4 linked regions of the Oreochromis niloticus genome follow. The protein of the gene in region 3 interacts with the protein of the main gene of each other region in a biochemical or structural test. Links are inferred from orthologs where the notes say so. Each region holds a gene or a part of one and is shown on either strand. Other genes may lie near its edges.

Region 1 (7,857 bases), on a different chromosome or scaffold from region 3:
GGCAGCTGTAATTGCAGCAAAAGGTGGTTCTACAAAGCATTGACTCAGGGGGCTGAATAATTACGCACACCCCACTTTGCAGTTATTTATTTGTAAAAAATGTTTGGAATCATGTATGATTTTCGTTCCACTTCTCACATGTACACCACTTTATATTGGTCTTTCACGTGGAATTCCAATCAAATTGATTCATATTTGTGGCTGTAATGTGACAAAATGTGGAAAAGTTCAATGGGGCCGAATACTTTTGCAAGCCACTGTAAAACAGGAAACACGAGACACACGCTGAGACACGGACTTGCCATAGGGACTGGGAAAGAACAGGCATGAGAACATACCTCACTGGGCGAGACACAAGCAACACAGGGAGACTAACTAAATCCAAGAACATTCAAAGCAAGACACACAAACACTGGGTTCCTTTTACCCATGACCATGCAACGCGTTCTCATCCCAACACGTAACATACCGACATGCGACAAATCGCCGGTATGCTACGCGTTCGCAGGCATGAGATCCAGATGGAATTAAACTATACATGTAAATGTCTTTTACATATTGATCATGAAGCCCTTTGGAAAACACATCTGACAGGGTTATGTGTTGGGAATGAGAATACTCTGGAGCATGACAGGCTCTTCTTTAGGCTGTCGTGGGTTTTCCTGGGGACCTAAATCTGGATTACACTTGGATAAATCTGTTGCATTCTTATTTACAAAGCCTGGGGCATTTATTGTTCAAAAGAATGTCGTGGTAGCAGACGAAACTCAAAAATTCCAAATCTGTCAGCAGGGATTTGGGCTTGTTGTGTCTACAATCATGCAGCAGATGTGATGAAATCTTTGGGACCTAATGTGAACATGTCACTCAGTGGGAGACAAAAGGAAGAATCTGTTTGGGCGTCACATGATGATGATTTATCATCTCAGGCAGCCAATCCAGGTTCTCTAGCTTTTCACTAAAAGGATTTTAATTTTCACCAATCACGAACATGGATGGCTGTAGAGTTAAGAACAATCTGTACTCCCAGACAAATCCAACTAAATGACAACATACCAGCATGGTGAGCAGGTTTATGAAATTGCAGAGTAGCATACACAACCGAGCAGCTCAGTAACTGATAGTCTCTCATATTCATACTCAACCAATAAAAACAAAGACCTCAAAACCTCTGGCAATGTGAGCTCTGAGAGAGCTTAAGTAATGGAGAGATCTGATTGGTCAATAAATGGTGGTTTTACATGTAGGATCTCTTGTCTTCAGCATAAGTGCCTGCTGACTTAACCTACCCAACACGGGCAGCAGCATAATTTATGTATAGAGTACAGGCCTGTGAGGTGAGGTTAGAAGCTGCTAGCACACGTGATTAAGCTGTCACACCTGTCGGTTCTGAAGCAAAGCACGTTTTAGCAACCGGATATGTGATCTTCAATTTAAATGAAATGTTTCCTGGTCAGAAGCTGCCACCTCATCTTATAGCAAACATAGCATCCTGATCTGACACTAATAGTGCTAATGTGACCAGCTCAACGCCATTTCCTGTGGCAGACTCTTAACCTTTTGGTGTGACCCTCCTCTGTTAGTGCTCAGCTTGGCTGCAACCACACAGAGCTATATTAGAAAGCAGCAGTAGTTGGTCCCAGCAGTTGTTAATATCTGATCCCTGATCAGCTTCTTCACTACAGTCAGCTGGCCTATAAATAATGTCTGCTGGCTTACCTTAAACTCTAAACCCAGTCAGTGCTCCGTCTTATAAAACCCAACCCTCTTTACAACTATTAAAGTCTGAGTCGCATTTAGCGTGGATAATGTAGCATAGTAATGCTAACCTCCATAATCACAAGGTGCTGCTGCAGTGTGAAACTCACTGATACACGAGATCAACGACACCATCTGCCAGAAAGATGTTAAAGAAGCAGCTCTGGTTTCTCAGACTTACACATTGGGCAGTAAATAAGAAGGTCCAGAAAAAAATCAGACTCCACGGTCTCTGCGTCAGACACTTCAGACGCTCCTGCTTGTTTAAACTGTGAACTAATGTCATCTTACGCTATCATTCCCTCAAGCATCTTTCTTGACACGTCATAAAACCATGGCAACAAGACAAATTTATTTTACCTTTTTATATTTCTAGCAGCAAAAGCATGAAGTGAAACAATCAGAGTTCATCCTCATAACTCGATCTTACAGACACTCAGGTAGCAAACACGCCAAACCTGCAAGCACAGCCCACTCAGCTGAACATTCCTGTGAGGCTTTAACACAAGTTTCAAGTAGAGAGGCTGGTCACTATAGAGGGAATTCAAAAGTCCAAACCTGCCTGGAAAGATTAAATGACTGATTCTCTGTGTTTTTGGTTTGTTTTTTTAACCACCATCTTTGCAAAAAAGAAGAGCAGTTTGATTAAAGTGAGTCTACTTTTGATTTACTTTGATATTTTGTTTCATTTAAGCTAAAAAGTGTCTGATGATGTGCAGATATGATGACAGAGGGTATCAGGTTAACAGCAACGCAACAGGTGTAAGACACACACACACACACACACACACACACACACACACTGTGTACTGAGAAGCAGGACAATAAGGAGGATCGGTTGTTTCAAAGTGAAAACTAAAGCATGAAATGTTGTTCTTACATTTAAATCAGAATCCAAAGCACTTTGAATCTTTGGTGAAAATTGTAACTTTAGACATTTTTAGGAAAAGTTATTCAGACTATCAGATGAAAATGTCTCTTTAATTATTACAAAAAACTGCTCCATAAACAAACGAAAGGTCAACAGAACCTATAAAATATAAAATATATAAAATCTATAAAATCTTATGTTTCACTTCACGTCTGAAAGCATAAAGTTCAGCCTCACCTGCTTCTGCTGTTTCTTCCACAATAAATCCAGTAAACATCGGTCACAGCACCATGCTGCCTGTCCGTATCTCTCTCTCTGTCTCACGTCTTCTGGCCTTGCCTTACTCTACGTCTCTTACTGAAACTTGAGAGGTCAGGTAGTGTGTCAGCACACACTCACACACACAAAGCCACATGTTCATCAGTTCCCATCAGAACTTTAGAAATTCCTTTCTGACAACATAAAATTATCAACCCCTCATTTAAAATAATAAAAGAGACATTTAGTAAGATCAACAGATTAATTGGTCAAAAATAGATTTGTTTTTAAAGCTGCATGATATATGGCATGTATTCCCATTTGAGACATGACAACCGAGGAGCTTAAATCTAAAATGTCTCTTGAAAGCAGAATCTCACCAAGGATAAGTTAGATTCAACGTAGTGCTAAGTTTTTATCACAACAGTCATAAAAAGGTTTTATGCAGCCATGAGAGGAATTGAAAGTCCTGCAGCAGCACAGAGTCTGGGTCACGTGATCACAAACTCATTTTAAATACATGCATAGAAATAAATGAAACTGTCCATACACTCAAAAAAATGAATGAGGTGGATTGTTCAGTGTATATTAATTGTTTATTTTCATTTTACTTAAAATATATTTTTTTGTTAAGTTAACATATGTTTTTCTAATCAAGTCTACGTAATTGTGTCTATTATTCACTGTACATAATACTAATGTGTTACTTGATGGCATAACATTTAAGTTAAGTCAATTAGGATCAATATACTTTGTATATCCACTAGGTGGCAGTAATGCAAAAACAGTTGTAATGAAACCGCGAAGAACAACAATGTTTCACGGCTTGGGCCTGCTCATTCGCAAGACTTCAAATTTAACTTAAAAACGTTGTTTTGGCGCCAAGCTGCTGTTTCTTTGAGAGGTAAGACCACTTTTTTCTTTGACTATGTTTTGTAGTATCTACATGTCGAGCATGGTTATATTTTGCGTTTGTCTTATAAGACATGTTATATCGTTTGCGTGCGCTTGTTCTACAGTGCGTGAATGGGTGAATGACTGAATGTAGTGTAAAGCGCTTTGGGGTCCTTAGGGACTGAGTAAAGCGCTATACAAATGCAGGCCATACATTAGTTTTACTGGGTCCTGGACATGCTTATTTTGTGGACTGTGTAAGAAACATTTTTATTGTTTTTGGTTTTTTTAAGGGATTAGCTACAGGGGTTCATGGGGTTATTTTTTCATTTACTTTCTTGGGATTCCTTTACTGTAATCCGAGAGTCATAAATATCGAATAGGATAGCAAGGATAGCATAAAGTGACATTTAAAATCCAAAAAGTCGAGGGCGAAAGCCACTGTGACACCATTGTTATGCTCTATCAGTAATTTGTATTATGTAAAAATGGTCTGTAAATACAGCATGTTTCCTAGCGGAGTTATACACATCAGCATAGTTATAAATTACAGTTTGTTAAATCACACACTTACTTTTTTAAATAAAATTATTCACAACATATGAGTGGGAAGACAATGGAAGTCGACAGACCTGGTGATAATTGCTTCTATAGAAAGTTAGAACATGGCAGTGTCAATCTCTTGCTTTTCTTCTGAGTAGTATTTTATTTAGTTGTAATACAATCAATAATTTGCTTCTTGAAATTAAGTAATGAATTTCTTGTTTTACTGTATAAATTTCAGATCCTGCCTTTACCTGATGTGGTGTATGTGGTACTGCTGAGCTTGTATGTGGTATGTGAACTGTTATACTTTTAAAAACAAAACTGTTTTATAAGTTAATTTTTCTTTAGTGACCCATCCCATGCCCCTGTTATTTCTTCTCCAGATCTGAACCATTGTAAAGGTTGCAGTTCAAGGGCCTGAGGTATGAAATTCTTTTCAGATCAGCTGTGATCAATATTTTTTGGAACTTGATAAATAACAATAAAAGCTGTGATGGCTCCATTAGCATTTTGTATAAATGTTTGTGTTAAAATTATAGCTTTAATGAGGTCTTTCTACATTAGTTAGGGTTAGGGGTTAGGATGAAAGTTTGGGCCCCTCCTCCAATTGGAGGCGGGCGGTGCACGGGCCATCCCTCGGTAAGGTGCCTGGACCCCGGATTGTCCACGGCGTCTGCCATAACGCACCAGGGTCCAGTCTGAAGTCCATCCAACCATGGTGAGTTGGATGGAGGCGTGTGCTTTTTAATTGGTTTTCCTACCAAAATTTAAATTAAATTTTTGACTTAAATTTGTAAGTTTTAACTTAAATTTTAAAGAAATAAGGGTTAGGGGGGTTAGGGTTAGGGATGTGGAATTGAGTCCGGTCCCTGAAGGGTCCAGACGGTGCTCTGTCCATCCCTCTGCCTCTGCCGCTTGTCCCCTGCTGGACACGTCTACGGGAAGGCAGCCGCCCTCTCCCGTGACGCACCACCGTCCAGCCCTCCGAGTCCATCCGGGACCCCATGTCTTGAATTTTTAATTTTTTGTTTTCTGTGTCTCTTGATGTCGCCTTTGTTATCTTTATTTAATAATTGTTTTGCTGTGCTATTTATGTCAGTTAGATATGAAAATGTGTATATGAATTTACAATCACAAACAAAGGCGAGAAAAAAGAAAAAACGTAAATGAAATTTGTGTTTTTAAATAAAAATAAAAAATAAATGAAATTAATAAAGTTTTTTAATTTTTAATAAGTGAAAATCAATGAATTACTGTGCCCACTGCCGCGACGTTTCGACCCAAGATAGGTCTTCCTCAGGCTGGGGCACAATGAATTTTAAGCTGGGAATGCACAGAGAGAGAGATGTTGTCTCTTCAACGGTCAGCTCCCAAATGAGCTCCTCTCTGCTGTGCAGCCTTTTATAGGCTTGGTTTCGTGTACGTGAGTTTTTGAATTTTGGATTTGGCAATGTGTTTTCAAATGTCTGTGATGGTTTTAGACTACAGTGAATGTGTGTTTTTTAACCTTTGTAATGAAATTGTATTTTATGAAATGTATTTTGTAAATTATGTCAATTTTTAAGAATTTTATGTTTTTGAAGTGATGTATATAAGATTTAGAAATTTGTAGTTGTATGTTTTAATCCAATTAGGTTTTTATGAATTTTTTAGGTTTTGCAGAGAAATATATTTATAATTTTAAACTTGAATGAGTATGTTTAGTCACCGAATTATGTTTTTATGATTTTGGGGTTTGTATATTTAAGCAATATTGTGTTTTTAAGGGTTTTAATAAAGTGTGTGATTTTAATGACTGTTGTTGTGTTTTAACTGTAAATTATGAAGTGATTAAAGGGGTCATAAATCAAATGTCATGTTTTTAATGGTTTTAATAAAGTTTTGATCCCCAATATGTCCCAATTCCCCATTTGTTGTTTGTTGTACATAATTTGTGATATGTAATAATACATTGTTGTTTATTGTAATCAAATATTTATTTATTTATTTATGTATTTAGAGGAATTAACCCCCCAAAAAATGGTTAGGATGAGAGTTTGGGCCCCTCCTCCAATTGGAGGCGGGCGGTGCACGGGCCATCCCTCGGTAAGGCGCCTGGACCCCGGATTGTCCACGGCGTCTGCCATAACACACCAGGGTCCAGTCTGAAGTCCATCCAACCATGGTGAGTTAGGGATTAGGAATTTGAGCTTTCGTTATTCCATATCTATGGTTAAAGTGCACTGGCAAACAGAGGTCCGTAGGTCTCCACCCCATTACTCCTGCATCCTCTGTACTATATGACTTTTGTTCTCTACCATATCTCTTAGTGGGTCTTTTAGTTGACTTTATTTCATTATATATTAGAAATATAAACACATTATATACTTCTTTTACCCCCGTTTCATCTGAAAAAAGAGGGGGGGAAAAAAAGAAATCTATTTTTTTATATTTAAATCCTATACCATCTCCCCTTCCTACAGAAAATCAGTTTACAGTGCTCTTATATACAGTGTGATTGTTAAGCAAATCATGCCTAGGGGGGAGGCAGTGACTAAATAGATTCCACAAACTATGTACATTCATATAATATGATTTATATTTCAACTATGCTTGTTATTAATCATCAAATTATTTACGATGATCTTACTGCTGTTTTTAATATCTATTTTCCCACAGGTGGCAAAATTATCGTCCTCTATTTAGAGGTCATGACCTTTAAAACCAGAATTCCTGTCATCTCAGGAGATATTATGGTTCAGGTTCTTATACTAAGGTAAGTTGAAATGGTTTTTTTTTTTTTTTTTTTTTTTTTTGGGAGAAACAGACCAATTTACAAGACCATTGCAATGTTATGTATATAAGTTGACCCCCAGAGGCATACAGTAAAATTAAATTAGTGCTAATCATTTAAAAATCGATCACATCTCTGCAGTGTGAATCACTTTATTCTCATAGGAAGAAAAAGACATCAGACAGCCTATCAATATCACACTATTATCTCCAATTTAAACCATAAGGAAATCTGCTGTTCAGTCTCCCAATCCACAACTCTTCATGTCTCCTCCTTTGTCCCTCCATCCGTGTTGCACAGGATTGTATCCCCAGGATGCCCAGGGAGTTCAACGGGTGTATGTGGAAATGTTGGACCAAGGGAGTGTGTAATCTGCTTTCCCCAATGCTGTATAGGTGTTGTTTTAACCTCTCTACGAGAGTCTGGCCGGTTTCCCCAACATATATCAGAGAACACTGTTTACAGACAATGCAATACACTATGTTTTTGCTGGTAGGCCTAAATCTTTCCAAGATTGGCGCTCCAGCACCACCGTGTGGGTTAAATAGGTATTGCCTCGGATTTAAAAAATACTGTTCTAAGCTCCGTTTCCTCCCCTGCCAGTGGCCCCCGAGTTTTGTTCGGACCAGCATATCTCTCAAATTTTTATTTTTCCGGTTAGCTGTTATCACCCTACAGTTATGAAAAGGCTCTATGTCGGTTAAGAGACTATTGAAATTCATTTTAAAGGTGCTATTTAAAGGTAAGTATGAAATAG
Region 2 (7,650 bases), on a different chromosome or scaffold from region 3:
TCAAAGCTCATCGACACTCAACTTTGATTTCTTTCTATTCAACAAACACAGTGACTTATGTATCCAAACACATGTGGCTCCCATGGGATAATTTCCTGAGCCTTTGATAAATTTGCATCTAGGAATGTTAATGTTAACCTCATGGTGGGTCTAGAAAGATGAAGGAATCCCCAAAGTCACTAGACTTTCATTATCATCCTCTGGAGATAACGAAAGTAACCAAAAGCATGGACATCTTCAATTGCTGTCAAGACATTTGAGGTTGGGTCAGAGTGATGACCTAACTGGCATGCTGCCATCGTATAAAGTGACCGTATCCCAAGAGGATCAGTCATTTTATTTGCTGGTCAGTTACAGTGTCAACATGCTTACATCATGAATACATGCTTAGGATTGGTTCCAGCTCAGGAGGTGGGGCAGGTCAACCACCAACCTTCTGATCACTATCAGAAGGTTGGTGGCTTTCTAAGCACTAAGAAATAGAAGAAAGTGCTTATATGAATGTGGGGTGAATGAGGTATGTTGTATTCTTCTTTTAGTGCTCAAATAAAGTACAAAAGTGCTATATAAGAACCAGTCTATTTATCATATACTATAATTTACTTGCAAAGAGCCATGAGCAACATGAGATAAAGAACTATTACAAAAGCTCTATGAAGGGCTGCCATTATGCTGTTTGTTTAGTACATCAGCATCATCTTTTGGCTGAAGGGATTGCAAGTGGCGCTTTTATATTATGTTTAAATGACTAACCTTAATGAGAAGTGATACAATATATCCAGGTCAAAATCATACTGCACTGCTATTTGGCGGACTGCTGCAGTGCTTTTGTTCTGAGCAGCTGGAGAAAAAAAACACAGTGGAGACTAGAAAATTGCGTTTCTGAGTACAGAGATCTCAGCATGCGGGTAATCAGCGAGTCATTTGTGTGGAATATTAACCCATTTAACTCCCGCAGATCCATTCCTGTCATTTTGTGCTGTGAGCGCTTTAATAATTGCACCTAATGAAACTTTAATTCTGCCTTCAATCCAATTTTATCTTAGCATGCTGCATATTCCTTTCTTTGGCTCAGTCGAATGTGTAAATCAAAACTACTTCTGCAGCCAGTACAGTCTATAAATAGCAGACATGATACTGCATTAGGACACAGTGCGTTTCACCTTTCCCCAGGTTCAGGTCTGAGTCAGTACTCATAACACACCTCTGCTGTGATCTCCTTAGGTGAGGTCAGACTCCCAGAGGGAAGGACAAAGATGGACAATGGCCTGGCAGAGAGCTTGCTCTCAAGCTCTGGGGGATTATAATAAGCTGGGGCTCCACATACCATCAGGCTGTAACTCACACTGACTGCTTGTACTACACTGATCTGTGCTGCTCACTAAAAGAAGTTAGCATTTACTGCTGGGTAGGGCACACGGAGGTTGCACAAAGAGTCAGTGCTTTCATAAAATTGGCAGAGAGGCTGTTTATAACTTTCCAAGTTGCAGGAAGTATCCAGCTTTGTGAGGGAATCACAGCAAAGATGTGAAAAAACATTGCAAGAGTTTGTTAGCTGTATGTTAACTACGAATTTTGAGAAACATGCTCCAAGTAAAATATTTAAAACCGGCACAAACAGTTACATAATAAATCTGCATAAGAACATAAATGTTCCATAGTTTTTATCATCTCACCGGCTAAAACATAGCACATAGAGGTGGCAATAACATTAACATAACCACAATGTTTCTCCACTTGCTGCTACACACTTGATTTACGAGGTTAGAAGAGTAATATTGCACTTAGAGTCTCTGCTGGAGTGTCCTTAGGCAAGATACTAAAATCTCTGCTCAGAGTGTGCAGTTCTGTGGCTGACAATGCCTCGAGAGGGTTTGCTGATACCTGTTTTTTGTGCTTACCTTGTTTTTGCTTTATTACCTACAGTCATATGAGACAGCTCTATTGTTTGTCAAGAACTTGCTTCAAGTCCTTGTATATTTAATGCATGACTTAACTGCCTTACCTGTAGGCATTTTTGGATGCAGGCCGGGGGTCAAACTTGAAGAAAATTATACACATGGATGTGCTGGGGATTGATGGCAGGGCTTTCACGTGGTTCACATCTGCCTCTAAATCTTAGCCATACCTGACAAAGAGAAGAATATAGAAGGAGTTATTCTGAATACCCTTTAAAGAAAACAAACAATCTAATTCCCACATCTTGCGATATCACAGCAAAAACAAAAATGACTAATGAGAAAAAAAAAACTCCTTGTGTACTTTAAATCCTATTTCTCTTGAATTCCTTTGAAGTGTTTCAAAAACTTGACTGAAATTGTGGTAAATTTAATTAACCAGACTAGATTTGGAAAGGCACCTGCCTATAGAAGTCATGACTGATGATGCATGTCAGAGTAAAAACCACGCCAAGTCAGAGTTCCTGCAGTCATCAGAAACAGTGCTGCATTGCAAAGCACGCAAAGCATTTTGCTGCAGGGAAAGTTCCTAAGAACAGGATGGCCTTTATATTGCTTAAATGAAAGCAGTTTGGAATAAACAGGACTCTTAAAACTGTTGAACTCCCAGGCCATCCAATCAACCGAAAGAGCAGGGACTTTAGTAGAAGTGACCCAGTGGTCGTTCTTACTGAAATTCTGTGTGGAGATGAGAGAACCTTCAAAAGGACACTCATCACTGCAGTACTCCAGTGATATCCGGTTTATGGCCCAGATGGCAGGCAGAAGGAGGTTCCTCATATCAGACTATGAGAAAAAAGATTTCTAACCTGAGGAAACCAAGTCCTCTCATCGCCTGAGAGCGACAAGAGTGAGTGACCAGAAAATAGACAATATAGACTACTGGAGTTGGCAAAGCTGGGGGGAAGACAAGACGTTCAACCTGCCAAGGGGATCCCCACCCAGACTCATGATTTAACCCACCGACAGTTTGTAAATTAAATAACAAACATCTATGTATAAACCTGAAAATAGATCCCAGGTGACACTCCTCTAATCAAACAAAGTTAATGTGATATTCACGTTTTTTAATTAACATATTTTCTACGTTTTTGTTCCGTCATTTTGAGGCGAATGAAGTTCTGAAAACTTTCTGAATACATTGTTTCCAGACTTAGAACACGCCACTCAAAGGTTTTTTCTCTGTCTGTGTTCACACAGCACCGAGTTTATATGTGGAAGAAAAACGGTTTCCCCTTATAGAATATGCTAATCCCATTTTATTACTGTCTTTGCAGTATATTGTGTGGTCATGTCCTGCCCCATATTCAGAAGGACTGGGATACAAGTCATCAGCTACAGTATGCTAACTGTAATGAGTGCAAAGGTAGCAAGTGAGTAGAGTCGTAAACTTAGCCATATATCACAATGACATTTAATGACTCGCTAGTCCGACCCCAATAATCAGCTGATATTATGAAGCTAGAGGGTTGTGACAACTTGTCACAGTTGACATCAACTACACATTTTGAATGATACGAGGACACGAGCGACTAGCATTGTCGCAGGACATTAATATTTGCTAGACACCAACGAACTAGCTTAGTAGCATATCCACAGACAAAATATTAGTCGAGTAATGTGGTTAGGTGAACGATGAGTTCCAGGATAACTTCACCTATAAATAACTAGCTAACGTTAGCTTAGTAATACTTAACAGTATAACGAGGACACAAACCCAGCAAACTTTAGCTACCTACCCAAACTTAGTTATGTGCGAAACAATATACTGCAAATGATATCTGGCTTATCGTTTTTCTTCTACACTGTTTACTGCTGTTGTGTCGGCTCTTTGTACTCACCACCCATCAACACTCGGGGTTGACAGCTAAAAGGAAGTACTCACAAAGAGTGACCTCGATTTGTGTCGTCAGTCGTTTCATAAGGCTAAAAATCCGACGTGACCGGTTATTATCTGTGAGGTGACCTTAACCCCGCCCGCCTTTGGATTTTACGTACATAAAACAAGCGCAAATGCTCAGTATTCCAGTGTGATTGGTCGTTTTACAAAGCAAGAACAGCCAAGCTCGCAGTAAACGGAAGCAATAGGGTTTCCGATTTAGTTAGCATTATTTTCAAAATAAAAGCATTAGTGTCAGAACTGTATTTTTAATGTTACAATTATTAAAGAAAAAAACGGCTTGGCAAACAGGGTTTATTTTATTAACATGATTATGCCTCACAATACGATATAACTGAAAACTATATTGTCATTTGTTTTAACGCATAGACTGTAGTACAGGGTAGCATTGTTCCGAATAAGGAACACTTTTAATTTGAAAAATGTTCTGTAGACGTCTTTTTTGTATTCCCGCGGGCTTCACGATGTAGTATTGACATCAATCATATCATATCAATAGATAGGAGAAGCTTACAGAGAAATTCAAGATGAAACTGATAAAATAAAATAAATAAAATAAAATAAAATAAAATAAAATGAAATGAAAAATTGATATAGAGGTATATGAAATTTAATGGAAGGTTTAACAAAATAGTATTTTTTTTTAATTCGCTGACAGAAAAACTTAAATGTAATAACAAGAGTAAATTCATTGAAACTAACAAGTCTTTTTATGAATAATCGAATAAGGTTAATTTTCCTCCAATAGTAGTTTGAATGGGGCGGAGACACTCGCTGTGACCGACAGCATCCAGCACTGTTGTGGATGAGCGGGATAAATGCTGCTCTGCCTTTCATACACTAGAATACAACTTCGCAGTCTCCAATTAATATATTTATTAGCCGCTTCGAGTGCGTCCAATAACTTCAAAGCCCGTTAGGTTAGGTTTACTGTTTGTTATTATTTTTAATTTTTTCTTCCCCTCTGCATGTGGAGCGACTAAAGGGACGCGCCGACAGCAACCTGCCAACTCCAGTTTGAGAGATTTGGCAGGTTGTGAGAGTAGTAGGCTCTCCCTGCAGCAGCTAGGCTAACTTGCAGGCAAAAATAACGGCGTTCGCGGTGAAGCTCGGAGTACTGCTCATCACAACGGGGAGTCACTTCGCCTGCGGGGAGCAACGATGACCGGGAGAAACTGAGGTAACCAGAATACAGCTCTGTTATTATCTCGCAAGTTTTATCCTGTTCTCTCAGCAGGAGGCGAGTGTGACAAAAATATCAATTAACATCAGGAAAGCTCACAATAACCCGCGGGCTGTGTTTCAGTGACATGAGCAGGTGCTCGTCTGAAGTGTAATGAACTGGACTCGGTGTTATTTGGTTAAAGCTTTAGCTCATTCATTGTTTAAATAGGCGTTTTTAGGGTGGCGCGGTGGGAAGAGATATATTTAATGCTGCTTAAAAAAAAATATAACAGCGAAGGCTTGGATGAAACTGAATATATCTGCGCGTGCTCTCGTGTTGTAAACATTCACGGATGCAGTCAAAGGCAGCGCGAGCCGCCACGAGCTGTCAATCATCTCATCCTCACTGCTCTATTGTTTTTCGCTCGTGCTGTTTATAAGTGAGTTTCCATGGAGAGTCTTCCGGTTTCTCTACTCTAATTACCTTATTTGGAGAAGGGGCGGCTGACTGATAGAGTGCTGCTGTTGTTGGGTATAGTGCTGTATACACGCAAACGCCCGAGTGAAGTGGATGCTTTGAAAGAGCGAGGCCTCAAATTAAGTTATTCTCAATAGACACTGATGTATCCTGATCAGGCTTTTCACACTCGATAGCCTTCCGATGGCCTCGAGGTGCGCTGTTAAAGCAATTAACTGTGCAATTAATTTATATCTCAGCCTCGTGGCAAATCGAAATTTCTAAACCGTCACCCAATCTTTTTTTTGTGACACTCAACATTCAGAACGAAAGCACGTTAAATTGGTATTTTGCAACCCCGCCCCACTGACCATCAACAGATCATCTACGAACCCACTATACAGCCTTATAATTTTCTTTCCAGATGAACATGAGGGTACTTTTTAAAACTTAAAAACTGTGATCAGCAGGCTTTGTCTGTGAACCATCATACAAACAGTCTAGGTCTAGGTTTACACTTGCTTTTAAAAAGTGTCTTTGGCAATTGGATGGCAAGTGAGCAGCTCAGACAAATCAGTGTTTACATCTGACTCTGATTTCCTTACTGTCTAAGTCACTTCCAGTAGAAGGTCAAAGGAACAGTAATGTGATTAAAGGAGGCCTAGCAAGGAAAATGACATGTTACAAGGACTAAGACAGTACATGCTGTTGCAGCTGTCCTAAACCAAATCAAGTATCCTACTAATATATTATTGCTTCATAGCCACATAGAACTCAAAAATATGGAAAATTTGTGCCCATTTAACAAAATAAGACTTTATATTTTGTGACTATTTCACAAACTGCCTGATGCTTGGGTTTTTTCATTACAATTTTATAGTAATACTAATTATTTCCATTAAATGTTGGGATAACCCTGACTACAGGTTTATCTAAGTTCTAAGTGAAAGCAACTTGACTTCCTTGAGTTTTCTATATACATTTAAACTTTTATCCAACTGACTGGTGGAGTCCGTTGGATAGGAACACCTTGAGTTGATGTGTGAGTTATCACTTAGATATACCACGACCTGCATGCCGAATCTTTCAAGTGGAACATGGACATACACAGATAAATTATTAAATGCTTTTAATTGGAGGCTTAAACCACCATAATGGGTGTCTGTGTATGTGCACTCTTTTGTGTAAGGAATATGTATGGAGTGACCAGCCAAAGAGTGGTGACACTGTAGTGAGATCTGAGGCCAAAGGTCTGCACTATGCAGCAAGTGGTAACTTCAGGTTTAAACCTGGGTTTTCAGTGCAATAATTATGCTTGATTTTTACTAGGGCACATTGCCATGGCAACTTATTCTTCAGACTTATTCTTCAACTTATTCTTCTGTGCTGAAGAAGGTTATGTCAAAGATAAGAGATTAACAGATACAAACTCCCTGCCTACAGACAAGTCAATACTCAGGATTGCCACCATTCCTGGAAGATTCCACCAAGGAAGACCTTGGTGGATTTATAGTCTTCAATATACTTCAATATTTATTATTCTGTAATCATTAATATATAATACAAATATAGTGAACCTGTTTGCATCTGTGGAGCTTATGTTAAATCTGCTGGTAAACTAAATCTACATCTGAATTCTGTTTTTATTTTTATTTTTTACTTGCTTTCAGACCATTAGGTAGCACCTGGCCTGCAGCTGGAAAAACAAGGCTAAAATTGTCTTATGTGCATCTAAACATTAATTTAATAGAATATGCAAATATAATTTGGCATATGCTCCTGTCTTAATGGTAAAACTCATCTGGTAAATCTGCTACACAGTTGGTATTTTTGGTGGCTTTCCTTTGTGGTTTTGAAAAAAATTGACTTTGTAAGTATCATAGTCCTTCAGCATTACTGACCAACGTATTACAAGTACACAGACATTCATACAGTGCTTTTGGTTGTATACTTTTCTCCTCTCTCTCTCTCTCTCACACACACACACACATACACACAGACTCATTTTCATATCTTAGTGCGGACATCTCATTGACATAATGCTTTCCCTAGCCGCTTACCCTAACAATAACCATCAAAAATGAATGCCTAATCCCAACCCTAAGCCTAAACCTAGCCATAACCTAATAGTAACCCTGACACTATAACCACATTTTGAGCCTCAAAAATGC
Region 3 (7,331 bases):
ATGCTGAGTATGTGCTGGAGATTAACATGGCTAAAAATGCAAGCAACGTGTCTGACTTTCTGGGTATGGTCTCTTTGACATCTGACCTCGCTGCCACACACATACACATGCAAACATTCCCTGTCATTTAAGATGAGCTCTCCCGCCTCCTGATAACTGCCTTAAAGTAGGAAAAGAAACTCAATAGGACAGATGAATGGGTGTGCAACTCCACACGCAGTCACATAACATGCAGGGTGAAATGTAATCAGTTACTAATGACAAATTACACAACATCAGCTTTTTATAATTAGTAGTGGCTGTAATCAGGTTGAACAACTAAAAGCATGTCTTTAATCTCAAAAAGTGAAATAAACCAGAGCTCACAAAAGGAGCACAAGAAGCACAGAAATTCAAGTCCAACAAAGGAAAAAGACAAGACTGTATACATGCACAGAGAGATGCTCAGTAAGAATAAATCATAGAATCAGAACAAAAGCAAAAGGTTAAAGTACAAGAGGCACAAAGAAAAGTTTTTCCCACAGTAAAAACAGGAAGTGTAAACTAGAAAGACAAGAGAACTAACAGAGAGACAAAGACAAGGAAGCAGTGGGATACTACAGAAAGAAGAAGAAAGGAAACATAAGAAATGACATAAATAGAATCAAAACAGGAACCAAAACTCAAAAAATATCACACAGGAACCCAGAACCGCACTAATAGTTTTCAATGCAAACAACAAATTTTGAATATTCAGCATTTGCAGATTTAGAACAGATTTCCTCTACAAAAACGTTCAACTTTCATATTCTTTTTTTGAGTGTGCAAAGGGAGTTAGTTTGATTTGGGCTTTAAAAAGAAGATAAGAAAGTAGACAGCAAAAGGTTCAAAAAAATTGCATGCTTCACATTCCGACTAAGGAGTTTTTCTTTTTCTGCCTTTACAGACAAGTTCCATGAAACGCTGAAGCCCGTGGGAATCAAAGAGAGGAAATACATTCTTGCGCTGAAGAAGAGGGAGTGCCTGATGAAGGGCTACCAGTTTGATGAGAAGATTAATGCCTGGGACTTACCCTACTACATGAATCAAGTGGAGCAGCGCAAGTTTGCTGTGGACAAGGACAAACTAATCGAGTATTTCCCTCTTGATGTGGTGACAGAAGGGCTGTTTGGTATCTACCAGGAGCTGCTGGGTCTCATATTCACAGAGGTGGAACAGGCTGACGTGTGGCATGAAAATGTCAAGCTGTACTCAGCCCGGGACACTGAAACAGGGGAGGAGATTGGTCAGTTCTACCTGGATCTGCATCCAAGGTAGATTATGTGTCATTTTTTTCAGAGACAAGATAAGATCCTGTGTTTGATGTCTTTATGAAGTGTGAGCTCACTAACATTCACTAGAGCTCTTGATCTGTGTGATAGACTTCAGCCTGACTGTGACATTTCACCAGGGAGGGAAAATATGGCCACGCAGGTTGCTTTGGGCTCCAGCCTGGCTGCAGAGGCCCCGATGGAAAGCGCAGGCTGCCGGTTGCGGCCATGGTAGCCAATTTCACCAAGCCTAGAAAAGGTTGTCCTTCTCTCCTCCAACACCATGAAGTGGAGACCTATTTTCATGAGTTTGGTCATGTCATGCACGAAATCTGCTCTAAGGTCAGTCGCTATGTTCAGTCAGGAAGTTATTGATATTTATATACTGTGTGCTTATGAATAAAAATTAGTTTTTCTGTGTATGCGTCAGACTGCTTTTTCAGAATTCAGCGGAACAATGGTGGAGACAGACTTTGTGGAGGTGCCGTCTCAAATGCTTGAGAACTGGGTTTGGGAAAAGGAGCCTCTGAGAAGAATGTCCTGTCACTACAAAGATGGTACCTCCATCCCAGACGAGCTGCTCGACAAACTGATTGCCTCCAGAGTTGCTAACACTGGTCAGACACCTAAACTTTGCACAAAAAAGTCTGTTACATTTATGTGTAAGTGAAGAGTCTCTGTTGATGTGTTCACTTCAGGGCTTATGAACCTACGTCAGGTAGTCCTTAGTAAGGTGGACCAGTCGCTTCACACCAGCCCACGTGCAGACACTGCTGAGGTGTTTGCAAAGCACTGCCAGGACATCCTGGGTATTCCTGCTACACCAGGTCAGCTTTAGCTTCAGCTATTTAGAATATATTTGAGAAATTATTGCATTAGAATTTCTATCAGTGATGCGGATTTACATTTTATAATAAACAGTCCACTCTGGGCATTAGTAGTTTGTATTCAGTGTTTTGTATGAAGCGCACAGACACTATCGTTTTTCTTTTTTGGAATTTGTATTAGCGATTTGTAACAAAGATCTGCTCTCTGCAGGAACCAACATGACAGCCAGTTTTAGCCACTTAGCTGGAGGATATGATGGTCAGTACTATAGCTATCTATGGAGCGAAGTCTACTCCATGGACATTTTCTTCAGTCGTTTTAAAAAGGAAGGCATTATGAATCCAAAGGTTGGTTTTCTGGTTGAACATTTCACTCTAATGATGTCTTATTTTTCTTGAAACTGTCTTTATATGTGCATTTATGCCCTGAACACAGGTTGGAAAAGAGTACAGAAGAGTGATACTGGAAGCTGGAGGCTCTGTGGATGGGATGGACATGGTGAAAACCTTCCTCGGACGTGCGCCGTATCAGGATGCCTTTTTCCAATGCAAAGGACTGGTTAACTCACAAGAAGCATCAATGTAATCTGATGTGATCTTTAACTGTTTTTGTCATTATTATATTATATCTGGATGCAGGTAAATGTCAGTTGAGAAATAAGGTATTATTACTATCTTCAGGATTTCATACTAGAGTTCTGTCTGCCTTTGTTTAAATGTCCAGTACATCACGACAGGGCCTCGTCATGACATGTTCAATGTGTTTTACAGCCTTTTTAATTCGTCATGGCAGAGGTGTTACTAAAACAGTAAACCAGGGATGTCAAACTCATTTTAATTCGAGGGCCACATACAACTTCATTTGATCTTAAGTGGGCCAGACCAGTGAAGCTCAACTACACATTAAATCCATCAGATATCTTCATATATGAACAAGAAGTGCAGTTTCTACAGTTTGTCTCATTTTTATTTCTACAGTTTGTCTCATTTTTATTTCTACATGATGAAAAAATTGTGCCATACTAAATACAAGCACAATTTTGGGGGGTTTAAATTGTAAGAAATTTATAAAATTACAGAAAAGGTTCTGGTTGCTCATTGCCAGGACTGTCCTGTAATTATAAAGCAGAAAGCTTTTGTTAGTTCAGAGAAAATGATCTGTTTCTCTTTATTTTGTCTTACTATGAACCAATTGAAAAAAACATTTCTATAGTAGTTACTGAAAAAATGGGAACTACTTTTCTGTCATTTATTTGTTTATCTTTTACATAATTACTTTGGTGTTGTGTGGATGACCATGGTGCTGTAGAACTCATGTCCATAATTTAAGCCCTCCACATTTTCCAAAGCCATCCAGCAGGCCAAATTGGAGTCCTTGCCGCCGTTTCTGGCCCCTGGGCCCTATGTTTGACACTCGTACAATAAAGAATGGATATTTCTTTATATTAAAGAATATGAATAATATGGTTTCCACAATAGTTCTTTTTCGAAACATACATTCTCGTCATTAATTTCATTACTTATGCCATCACTTCTGCTGTGACATGTCAGAATTTCCTTCCATGCAGTGATCAGATATGTCAAGGGTACAAAAATAGTAACAGCAGGCTTAAGTTACAGGTATCCAAGTATAGGCGCTAACATACCCTTACTAGATTTACAATATAGTCAAAAAACTGTTTTCAACTGCTTCTTTCTGCTGCCACATTATATTACATTTATCAGCTACCTACTCTTGGTGGCCTGACAACTTCATTAAGTCGTTTAGAGGGTTGACACTAGACGTTAGACTGTTCAAGCCTTTTACGTTGAGCACACCCGTCAAACATTATGTGGAAAATTCTACCCTTGAAAGGCACTTGGCTATTTTAATGGATATATCTTTGAGCTATCTTTAAATCTCCAGAAAAAAGGCCATATTATTCTATTTAATTTAAATTTCCAGTGAAATGCAAAAATCTTCGCTGGAGGGCGCCACGACATAACAAGAGTAATGAAGGCTGCTGCAAACCGTACAAACACCTATTTTTTGTACGTTATATGTAAATGGGTTTAATAAAATCCCTTGTCGGTCTGGTTTGTATACGCATTTGCAGTCTGTGTGAATATCCTGTGTAGCCTATTTGAAAGGGAAAACAGTGTCAATAAGTCAATGCACAGAGGAAGATAAGCGGAATCACTAGCAGTGTCTGGGTGAGATAGTGAAAGCGTCGTCCCCGGGGCTCGGTGAGGCTGGAAAGGCGACTACTGGTGGACAGCTTTCTCCATGTACCCGCGGAGGTCGCAGAGAAGAAACTCGCCGCTTCGTGCTGTGCCCCACAGCCTCAATGTAGCTTCGTTCCAGTCAGTAGAGCTGCGTCTATTGTAAATGAGCAAAGACCTGGAAATTATGAGCGAAAACATCTGGGTGCGGCACACTTTAGAGGAAAAGGTTTCGCTGTGCCGGAGGTGGTTCGCAGTTTTGCCTTTTGTATTTCCTTGCTGAATGTAGTGGACATTTTGGATTTTTTTTAATGTTGTGTCATTAATTTGCATCAGTTAAGGACCATTTTTGCGCTTGTCTTCGTCGTCGGTTAGTCTGGCTGTGCCACAAGGCAATATTTTTATGTCTCAAAACAACTGAGAGGGACAACGTTAAACTTGAGGGCGGCTCGCTGAGGAGAATGTACGCACTGGGCCAGCTTCGAGTTGCTCTCTAAGTAAGGCAATATTAGCTAGCTGCTAACACTAGCCAGACCCAATTGAACTGTCGTGAAGCAAACCAGTGAAACCAGCTAATGCCCACTTCTCAAGGTGTTTGTTGGGTAGTATCAGCCTTCACATAAGCTGGATATCATTAAATGAGACGCTGACCCGACAGTAACTCAGGTAAGTCTCTTTGTTTGCGCAAGTTACTGCTTCTGTCTGCGGGGCCCCACACAGCATGCTAACGCTAGCTGTAGCGTTGTATCGCTGAGGTCCCATTCTCAGGTTGTCCCACTTGAAGTCTCGCATTAATGCGGTTGATTTTAAATGTGGAATTATACGATAATGTATTATCTGGGTGCTTGTAGTTTAGTAATGGCTGTGAGAGCATTGTTGGTTTAAAACAACAGGTTTTGGACTGTATTAACAGACTTGAGCATCTGTGTTTTCGGAAGGTTTCGCATCAGCAGCTGTGTATGCTGTTGCCCCTTTGCGATGTAGCTCACTTGGCACTAATTTATTCGCTTTAGAAAGCGGTGTAGTACATTTAAAGCTGTCAGTCTATAAGTGTTGATACTATTCCTAAAACCAGCCATTAATAACTGCGCCGCAATAGCAACACTCGCATCTTTTGTTGCGCCTACACCGTCTAGGACGGATTAGCGCGCCGTACTTATCAACATATTGGCGTTTTCATTTTCTCGCCGCTTCATTAATCAGATTAGTGTCCTCACTTAACTCCACTGTAATTTAATCCCGTTAAGATCCGGGATAAATTCAGGACTATTCTGAGGAATTTCAGCAGGTCTGTCCTTGCCTGTCGACTTGTTGTTAGTGTTCGTCATTCACCGCTCTGGGAAATGGTGTCAGGAGATGCAATCAGGTTGAGTCTCAGGGCACCTTGAAGGCAACGCTCAGGTAGACAAGTAATAAGCCCGGGATCGAGTGTCGTTAGTAAGATACCTAGATTAAATCCGCTAATGTGTCAACTTCTTACTGGAACTTAATTGACTATAAAGTACAGTTAAGAGGTGAATCGGAGATATTTCTGCATCTGTGTAGATTATCTTAGATTTCATAACATAACTTTACAAACGTACTGAACCAGGTGGAGTGTTGCCAGAGATAATATTTTGTAGTAGATTGAGATACTAACTATGGATGTCATGATAACAGATTGTCATTTAATGAAAAGTAATATTTAAACTCAAAATTCAAGTGCGTGGAGGTATCAAAGGCTACTGCAACCATAACTGTGCGAATACATACACAACTGCAGAACAATTACATGTTCATTTTCAATACGATACGTGCATTTTGGGCACAGTGTTTTGTAATTGAATTTTTCAATCTCACATGAATGTCTTCCAGGGTGATTTAAAACTCAAACGTTGAATTTGGTATTTGGAGCTGTCAGTCAAGCAAACAGAAACCTTATCAGATCAGTCTTCAAAGGCTCTCCCAGCTGTAATAAAATGTAAACAAAGACTAGGCTCGATCTTCCCCTGCTTGTCAATGTTATGGGCCCGTTATCTACAAGCTGATATTCAGCTATTTGGAGAAGATTATTCAGGTATTGGTAATGAAACTGACTAAAAGTGTATATATAGTGTAAGCAGAAAATTGCCCGAATTTTGGATGTTTTCCCAAAGGTGTTTGTTTACACTAATTTTGTATTCTTGTAGACACATTTCCACTCATCGGGAAAAGCTGTGTATTTGGTATATGGATATTTTGTATATCACTAACAGAAGTGTGTGTCGTATTCTTACAGTACACTGGTTTCATTGAGGTATTGAAGGCCTGTCATGGCATTTTGGTTATCAAGTTCCTCATGTGATCATTTACAACAGACCTTATCTAGAACTGAAGATAAGGTTCACTGTAACAAAGGCTCTTTCCTCTACTGTTCTTTTCTCGCACAGGTGGCAAAGAAGTGTTGTTCCACTTGCCTAAAAGTTTGTTGTGTCAGTCGGAGACAAGACACTGCCAAAAGCAGTAAAACTGTGTTTCTTATCTTTATTATACACCAGACATGTTGGCATAAGTGTTAATCCACAAATCAATGTCGGTTTAGCTGTGAAATTCTTCCATATCTCTATGTATGTTGAATTGGATATCCTTTAGTAAGTACACTGGTTCAAAACTATCTTTTTTTTCCTTTCGAAACAGCTCTAAACTGTTTGACTTCATGTTCTTAACAGAGTCTGGTTTACTTATGGGTATATCATGTTAAAAGTTTTTCTTAAACAATGAGTGATCCTGCTAAACTCAGAGTCAGCGGTATATCTACTGATGGAAAAGTGGCTGTACAGGCTTATCTATTTCTGTTTACATCTGGTGTCGGCTGTTAAACAAGTACGTAACATGGTGCTTTTCATTGTCACTGGATCTTAAGGTGTGTCTTTTCTGATGACGCTTTATACCACGTAGGAAACCTTTTTTTTTTTTTTTTCCTTCTCCCCCCTCCTTAATCTTCTGCTTCTGTGACCATACAAGTGCTCGTTTCCTCTTCAGCATGTCTAGCCTT
Region 4 (7,777 bases), on a different chromosome or scaffold from region 3:
TCCCAGCTGTCATAGGGCGAGAGGCGGGGTACACCCTGGACTGGTCGCCAGTCTGTCGCAGGGCTAACACACAGGGACAGACAACCATTCGCACTCGCACATTTACACCTAGTGGCAATTTGGATTATCCAATTAACCTATCCCCACAAGCTGCATGTCTTTGGATGGTGGGAGGAAGCCGGAGTACCCGGAGAGAACCCACGCAAACACGGGGAGAACATGCAAACTCCACACAGAAAGACCCCGGTCTGATGGTGGAATTGAACTCAGGACCTTCTTGCTGTGCGGCAACAGTGCTAACCACCGTGCTGCCCGCACACTGAATATTTTTTTCAAAATGACAGGAAGCGGCACGGAGATAGGTGGAGCATTAACATCAAAAAAATTCTTCTGCATATCCATGTTGATGGCATGAGTCAGATAACATAGGATGCAAATGTACTGGTCCCTAGTTATAGTGAATTCAATAAGTCGAGACAGATTCATCAAAAGTAGGCAGTCCATCAAAGCGACAAATGATAAATTAATAAATAAATTATTTTGAAAACAACAATTTGTTGTAATGTGTTTCTTTCAACCACAGTGGTTAAAAATCTCAGTATCAAAACAATTTCTTGTTTGGGCCTCAGGAGGAAGTAAAACATCAAGATCATTTCTTACTTTGAACGACTGCCTAATCTTAAAGAATCTGTCTTGACTTATTTAACTGGCTATAAATGGGACCCAGTATATCTGAGTCCTGAAGGCATCATGCCATGAATGAACACCTATTTACTGTTTGATGTAATCAGAGGGCCTCCAGGGTGTGCGCACTCCTGTTTTCATGTTTCATGTTAAAATCAGTTTCAAACAAAAAAAGAAGAGGTACGGTTTCATGGTCTTTAGCCTTACATGTTATTAAATAATGGGCAGCACGGTGACACGCACTGTTGCTGCACAGCAAGAAGGTCCTGAGTTCAATCCCACCATCAGGCCGGGGTCTTTCTGTGCGGAGTTTGCATGGTCTCCCCGTGTTTGTGTGGGTTCTCCCCGGGTACCCCGGCTTCTTCCCGCAGACCAAAGACATGCAGTTAGTGGGGATAGGTTAATTGGTCAATCTAAATTGTCCATAGGTGTGAATGTGGGACAGGTTGCCAGTCTGTCTCTGTGTGTTAGCATTGAGACAGACTGGCGACCAGTCCAGTGTACCCCGCCTCTCGCCCTATGACAGCTGGGATAGGCTCCAGCACCCCCCACGACCCTGAAAAGGATAAGCAATGGATGGATGTTATTAAACATAAAAATCAACAGAGTAAATAACCTGTTTAACCCATCTATGTGTGTGAAGGTTTAACCAAATACAGCAAAGCCCTAACCTGAAATTGTACTAACCCATAATTTTAACTGATTATGTGCTCTACATTTATGTGTGTGTGCGTCACAAACCCCCCCAAAAAACTTCACAGCCATGTGTTACACATTGCTTCTTAATCATAATGGCATGGTGGGTGCCCTCACTTTATCCCCTGCTCAGGGTCCAAGGGCTGGCATGTCCTCCACTGAGCGTTCACCTTCCTGCTCTGTCTGGTCCTCCTCCACCTCATCACCGGACAGCACGAAGTCTGACTCCCCTTCTACAATTCTGAGTAAAGTCCTTTCCGCCTCAATCCTTCCTTTGCTCCTTGAAGTGTGGATATGGGTTGAAAACAGGAATGAGTAAGTCCTCCTGTCCACTACACAGAACACTGACTGTGTAATGGACAGTATTCACAGTTCTTTGCATTTTCCACAGTTTGTCATGTTACAGCCTTATTCCCAAATGGGTTCAATTCATTTCTCACCTCAAAATTCTACACATGATACCCCATAATGACCAAATGAAAAAAGTTTGCTTGAAATTCTTGCAAATTTAGTAAAAAATTATATGAGAAATGGTCATTTTGAAAAGAAAGCCCATGTGGAAACTTGAAACCCTGAGATGTCTCCTTGACAGTAAATTTGAGTAAGACTCAAATAGATTGCATGAATTGTGCTCGTGGAGGTCTCAGACTCGTGTCCCCCCAACAGAGGACAAGAATGAATCGCTGGGTCAGAGGAGGTTAATGAACACTTTGCATTCTGTTTCGAGTGCTCTCCTAATCAAATATCAGAGGGAGGGCGGGCACAGCGAACATGAATTATTTGTTTTTGTGGCCTCTGTGAACATTTTTTGTTGTTGCATGAGCTAACCTTTTTTCCTGTGATAATATTAACAAAAAATAATGTTAAACGATTGTTAGGTGAAGTGAAATTGTATGAAAAGTATTTCCAGTGCTTTAAATTCACACTTTTTTTTAGTTACAATATATGGACGTATGTAAATAAGTGATGTATGCATTTTCTGATTTAATATGAGAAAATAAACAACAACAAAAACACCGATTAATTTGTAGGAAAGTGGTTGGTGACTGCAAAATGAATAGTTAAAATGTTAGGTTAATGTATTACTTTTTTTATGGTGGGGACACACAAACACACCGGTTGCTACCCAGCAGTGACCATGAAGGGCAGATGAAGCTCGGGTGAAAGACTGCAGCACGGTGCGCAGTGACCGGCTGCATCCACTGGGGGAGGACCGAGCACCGCCTGCACGAGCTGCGGTACACGAGCGACTTTCTCACCGAGACTCTCCATCATCACACAGACACACACACGCACACAGACACACACAATGGGAGGGATCCAGGAGTATAGGTAGGGATACGGCGGCAGACAGACAGATGTGCGATGCTCAGACTTAAACCATGAAGCCATCCCCCCTCGCCCGTGCGAAGGTAAACTTTTACCCACCCTCGTATCTTGTCTTCGTGTGGAGCTGTCATTGATGCCAACTCGCTACGCGCACACCTGCTACTTCCTCCTCTTCTTCTCATTCTTTTTTTCTCCTCTGGAGGGGGTAACATTATTGCTCTCGTCGTAACCAGAAGCGATGCAGCAGAAACGGAGGCTGAAGTGGCGATAGATCCTGTTGAATTGAGACAAGACGTCGAGACGCAGCCAAAAAAAGTGTCCTCTCCAGAGTGCGTCAGAGCACGGATGTGTGTACTGGATGTGGATATGGTCGCTGCGTGGATACAGCGAGGGATTTTGCGGCGTTACCCTCCAAAATCATAACGGGGATTTGAGCGAGAGTGAACAACTGCATCCTCACCTAGCCTCTCCTTCCCCTGCTTCCTCCATCAGATTGGTTTGTGAAGAGGGGGGGCGGGGGAGGGGGACTGAGGCGATGTCGTTTTGGCCCCCTTTCAGATGTAAGTATGGATGTTAGAATAAAGGGAGGATACTTTAATGCGTAAATTGTATTGTAACCATAAATGTCTTCCATATCCCTTTGTGTTCACTCCATAGTAATAATGATGATGATAATAAGCATGATGTATTTTGATTGTGTATTCGATAAAACAACACACATCGATATGAAGGTTTTGTTTTTATTTGCCTAAACCAACTGCTGTTTTCTCCTCTCTTCTTGTTCTCGCAGCTCCTGAGAGCGTCAGAGGAATAAAGTCATTCAGATTCACCGGAGCTGTGTAAAATAACAACGGAGATATCTCTCCCCCTCTCTCTCTCTCTTTTAAACTCATCCTAAAATGGCAACCATGAGTGACCAGGGAGGATCAAAAGACGCATTCGGGCGCAAACCCGGCTCGCGGAGAAATTAACCACCTGATGGGCACCGGAGAAACAGAGGAGAGACTGTTTTGGTGTCGCTTGTTGACTTGGTGATTTACAATGCTGAGCAAATAAGGGGCGCTGCAAGTTTGACCGAGCGTCTGCGTAACAGGCTATGCCACCGGCCTTTACATCTGATCTTTTTCCTTCTTTCTTCTTCTTCTTTTTTTTGGATATGGTAATGATGTCATGAAATACCGGAGGAAGGGGGGGCTGTACCTAAACTGGAAGAGATGGCAATCAGTATCATGTAAGTAGGATACATGGGATTCGCTCAGCATGGACCCGTTTGAGGTGTGTTTGCTATTCTGACTTTCTCGCATTCACGACTGATTGGTCGAGAGGCTTCATGCCTCATTTTGTCTCCCTGCGCGCGCTGAGCTGCAACTTTTGTCCTCTGGTCTGCGTCCACATCACAGCGCGCGAGCGCTTACTGTAAGCGTCCGCGGACCGAAGCGCTCACTGACTTAAAATGGAGTTTGCCATGGTGGGCGCGGACGGTGGGTGCAACAGCCACCTGCCTTACGGATATGCCCAGGCTCGCGCGCGGGAGAGGGAGCGCGAGAGGGAGCGCCAGGTTGCCCACACCAGAGCGGCGGCCGCAGCGGCTGCTGCCGAAGGTGGAACGTGCACGGAGGGAGGTGGTGGAGGAGGAGGAGGTAGCTGCGGTGGCGTCGGGGGGTCCACCTCCAACACCTCCTCGAGCGCTCATCTCCTTAACAACCGCCAGCATCAGTCTCGCGCCGCCTCCTCCGCGAACGCCAACATCAGCAGCGGCGGTACCGCCTCGCGCCCCTCCTCCTCCTCCTTCACCTCCACCACCACCACCACCACCTCCACCTCCTCCTCGCAGCAGAACCAGCAGGAGCCCGAGCAGCAGCAGAGATTTGTGCGAGAGCGGAAAAAGCAGCGCGGCGTCGGACGCTGGAGACGGAACCGGGGCACTCTCGGCGGGGACCTGCGCCACTCCGAGCTGGCTCTGCTCGGATCCGAGGAGGACATCATGATAGAGGAGGAAGAGGCCGAAGGAGCCGAGGAAGAGGAGGAGGGGGGGAGGGGGGCGGGGGGGACCGGGGGAGCAAAAGGTCGAGTTTTTTGTGCAACATGGATGATGAGGAGGAGACCGTGTCGATCACCGACAGGCGGCCCCAGTCCGGATATGAAAACGTTTACAGCGAGTGCGGCTGCTGCGAGAGAGTTGTCATCAACGTGTCGGGTCTGAAGTTTGAAACTCAGCTCAAGACGCTCACTCAGTTCCCGGACACGCTCCTGGGAGATCCGGACAAGAGGATCAGGTACTTCGACCCGCTGAGGAACGAATACTTCTTCGACCGGAACCGACCGAGTTTTGACGCCATTCTTTACTACTACCAGTCAGGCGGGCGCTTAAAAAGACCAGTCAACGTCCCATTTGACATATTTTCCGAGGAGGTCAAGTTTTATGAACTCGGGGAGGAGGCGATACTAAAGTTTCGGGAGGATGAGGGCTTCGTCAAAGAGGAGGAGAAACCTCTGCCGGAGGATGAGTTCAAGCGCCAGATTTGGCTGCTCTTTGAGTATCCGGAGAGCTCGAGCCCTGCCAGGGGGATCGCGGTCGTGTCCGTCCTTGTTATTGTCATTTCTATTGTGATTTTCTGCCTGGAGACGCTGCCGGAGTTCAGGGATGACAAAGAGTATCTACAGCCACGAAACAACTCCTCTCAGCCCGATCACGGATTTACACCTTTTAACGACCCGTTTTTCGTCGTGGAAACGGTCTGCATCATCTGGTTCTCGTTTGAGATTATAGTTCGCTTCTTTGCCAGTCCGAGCAAAACTTACTTCTTTAAAAACATTATGAACTCCATAGACATTGTTTCCATTTTGCCTTATTTCATTACTCTCGGCACGGACCTGGCGCAGCATCAGGGCAACGGACAGCACGCGATGAGTTTCGCCATCCTGAGAATAATCCGCCTCGTCAGGGTGTTTCGCATCTTCAAGCTGTCCAGGCACTCTAAGGGGCTGCAGATCCTGGGTCACACCCTGCGCGCCAGCATGAGGGAGCTGGCCCTCCTCATTTTCTTCCTGGTCATAGGTGTCATCCTGTTCTCCAGCGCGGTGTACTTCGCTGAGGCGGATGAACCCACCTCGCAGTTTACGAGCATCCCGGACGCGTTCTGGTGGGCCGTAGTGACCATGACCACAGTGGGTTACGGAGACATGAAGCCCATCACTGTGGGTGGGAAGATAGTGGGCTCCCTCTGCGCGATCGCGGGCGTGTTAACTATTGCGCTCCCGGTGCCGGTCATAGTGTCCAACTTCAACTACTTTTATCACAGGGAGACCGATAACGAGGACCAGCCGCCGGTGGTGGAGAGCATGCCCCCGGGCTGCCCGTACTTCCCTGACTTTCTAAGAAAATTCAAAGGCTCGCCCTCTGGCTCCTCGCTCGGCGACAAAGCGGAGTATATGGAAATGGAGGAGGGGGTGACGGAGTCGCTTTGCGGGCTGGACAAGAGCCCCAGTAAAGGAAACGGCACAGACATAAGCAGAAAAAACAGTACTAACTCAAAATCCATTCAGACTGACGTGTGATTACAATTAGAGTTTATTATTATTAATTATTTTTCCTGAAGAAGAAGAACACGCCCTATAAAGATAATTCTAAACATCATTTCTGCCCAACAGCAGGTGACCCCCTCCCGCTCACACTTCCCCAACACAAGTTTGAAACACGCCTCAGACACACACACACACACACTCACACTCACACACACACACACACGTTCATGCCACTGATTGGCAGGCTGTTATGCTTCATCTCTCTCTTTCCCCTGTTTTTAACCATCGCGCACTTCTCTAACAGCAGCCTTTCCCCCAAACCATCTTCACCACACACCAGTCTATTTGTTCATCTAAGCTGTGCGGGCTTCCAAATCTGACATCAAATTGAAATTCTAGTGAAGACAGGCTATGCATTCGCACTTTATGAGTTTCATCTGTCAATAACAGAGAGGTATAGGGATCGTTTTTGCTGTTATGCAATAAAGTTCAAAATCTGTTTGCACTAATGTAGATTTTTTTTTTTTTGCGCTGGGTTTTGGCAGATTTGTATTCAGAGACAGAAGCTGTAGGCCATGAAAGTGGCGCGTATTTAGTAATCCTCTGACCACTTCGCTAAAGAATGTTTGAACAACTTCCTCACAGAGAGCAGACTAAGGATATTAATAATCCCCTTTATATGCTGCCAGTAAAAGTAAAGAAAAAAGAAAAAATTGGAAACGAAAATACGGATAAGTCTTTTGTAACTGTTCCAGTATTTAACATTAAAGAAAAGCTAACTGATAAGACAGCATTTAGTAAACCAGGGCTACAGTTATTTCTATGACACCTACACAACTATGTTTTTCCACAACAGGCCAAAAGAAAAAAAAAAAAGCCTTGTATTGCTGACCCACTGCGAGAGCTAAGCACAGGAATTATCAGTTTATAAAATGGCTGGAGAAATGACTCGCCCCAGGTTTTGTATGGACATGCTTGTTGGAACCTCGGTGACAGCAGTTTTCCCCAGTTTCATTTAAAGCACCTCAAAATGACAATATCCCTTTACAAGGAGGCAGATGGAAAGTTAAAGCAAAAATGACTCATCGTGGAAACTCATTGGAGGGGAGCTTGCGAGCAATTTTCTCTCCTGTCTGCTGGACTTCGTGCACAATTCCTTTCCCCCCCACCCCGCCTCACCCCCCCAAGAGGACTGCGATTATCTGCGAGCTCGGAGGATCGTCATGATGTGGATGTCTTCCAAGGTATGTGGCCCACAGCTTGTGTGTGAAAATGATTTTTTTTTAAACAACCTTGTAATGATCAAAACAGCTCCAGTCACGTTTTTAATGGAAAATATATGCCACTAAACAAGGTCCCATCTCGAGATAAACACTTTTATTCCGAGCACGACACCCTCACTTTTATTTTCAAACACTCCCGTGTTTCTTTGACAACAGAACCACGCGTGAATGCGCGTGCGTAAAGCCCTGTAGACGCTGGAGGAATGTGGCGCACATTTTTCCAGTCTTCATGTGGCCAGTTGATGTTTCTGCTGTACAAC

Evidence for each region.
Region 1: the proteins of erbin (region 3) and scn4ab interact in a test that uses a peptide from one of them, tested with the Homo sapiens proteins (2 studies listed by BioGRID and IntAct). The link is inferred for Oreochromis niloticus from reciprocal best matches to the Homo sapiens genes ERBIN and SCN4A.
Region 2: the proteins of erbin (region 3) and arvcfb interact in a test that uses a peptide from one of them, tested with the Homo sapiens proteins (3 studies listed by BioGRID and IntAct, with this or other methods). The link is inferred for Oreochromis niloticus from reciprocal best matches to the Homo sapiens genes ERBIN and ARVCF.
Region 4: the proteins of erbin (region 3) and potassium voltage-gated channel subfamily A member 4 interact in a test that uses a peptide from one of them, tested with the Homo sapiens proteins (3 studies listed by BioGRID and IntAct, with this or other methods). The link is inferred for Oreochromis niloticus from reciprocal best matches to the Homo sapiens genes ERBIN and KCNA4.

The regions. Positions count from the first base shown.
Region 1 is NC_031969.2:35,485,932-35,493,788, forward strand, and holds the start of scn4ab (sodium channel protein type 4 subunit alpha B), read right to left. Parts: upstream 3,012-7,857; 5' UTR 2,867-3,011; intron 1-2,866. UniProt on the Homo sapiens protein: Pore-forming subunit of Nav1.4, a voltage-gated sodium (Nav) channel that directly mediates the depolarizing phase of action potentials in excitable membranes.
Region 2 is NC_031977.2:8,250,765-8,258,414, reverse strand, and holds the start of arvcfb (ARVCF delta catenin family member b), read left to right. Parts: upstream 1-4,644; 5' UTR 4,645-5,038; intron 5,039-7,650. Other genes in the region: tango2 (transport and Golgi organization protein 2 homolog), read right to left, coding at 2,006-2,061. UniProt on the Homo sapiens protein: Contributes to the regulation of alternative splicing of pre-mRNAs.
Region 3 is NC_031972.2:13,430,105-13,437,435, reverse strand, and holds the start of erbin (erbin), read left to right. Parts: upstream 1-4,320; 5' UTR 4,321-4,984; intron 4,985-7,331. Other genes in the region: nln (neurolysin, mitochondrial), read left to right, coding at 1-63, 926-1,292, 1,430-1,631, 1,720-1,906, 1,988-2,116, 2,328-2,464, 2,553-2,702. UniProt on the Homo sapiens protein: Acts as an adapter for the receptor ERBB2, in epithelia. By binding the unphosphorylated 'Tyr-1248' of receptor ERBB2, it may contribute to stabilize this unphosphorylated state.
Region 4 is NC_031965.2:10,259,435-10,267,211, forward strand, and holds the start of potassium voltage-gated channel subfamily A member 4, read left to right. Parts: upstream 1-4,757; 5' UTR 4,758-4,794; coding exon 4,795-6,267; 3' UTR 6,268-7,478; intron 7,479-7,777. UniProt on the Homo sapiens protein: Voltage-gated potassium channel that mediates transmembrane potassium transport in excitable membranes. Forms tetrameric potassium-selective channels through which potassium ions pass in accordance with their electrochemical gradient.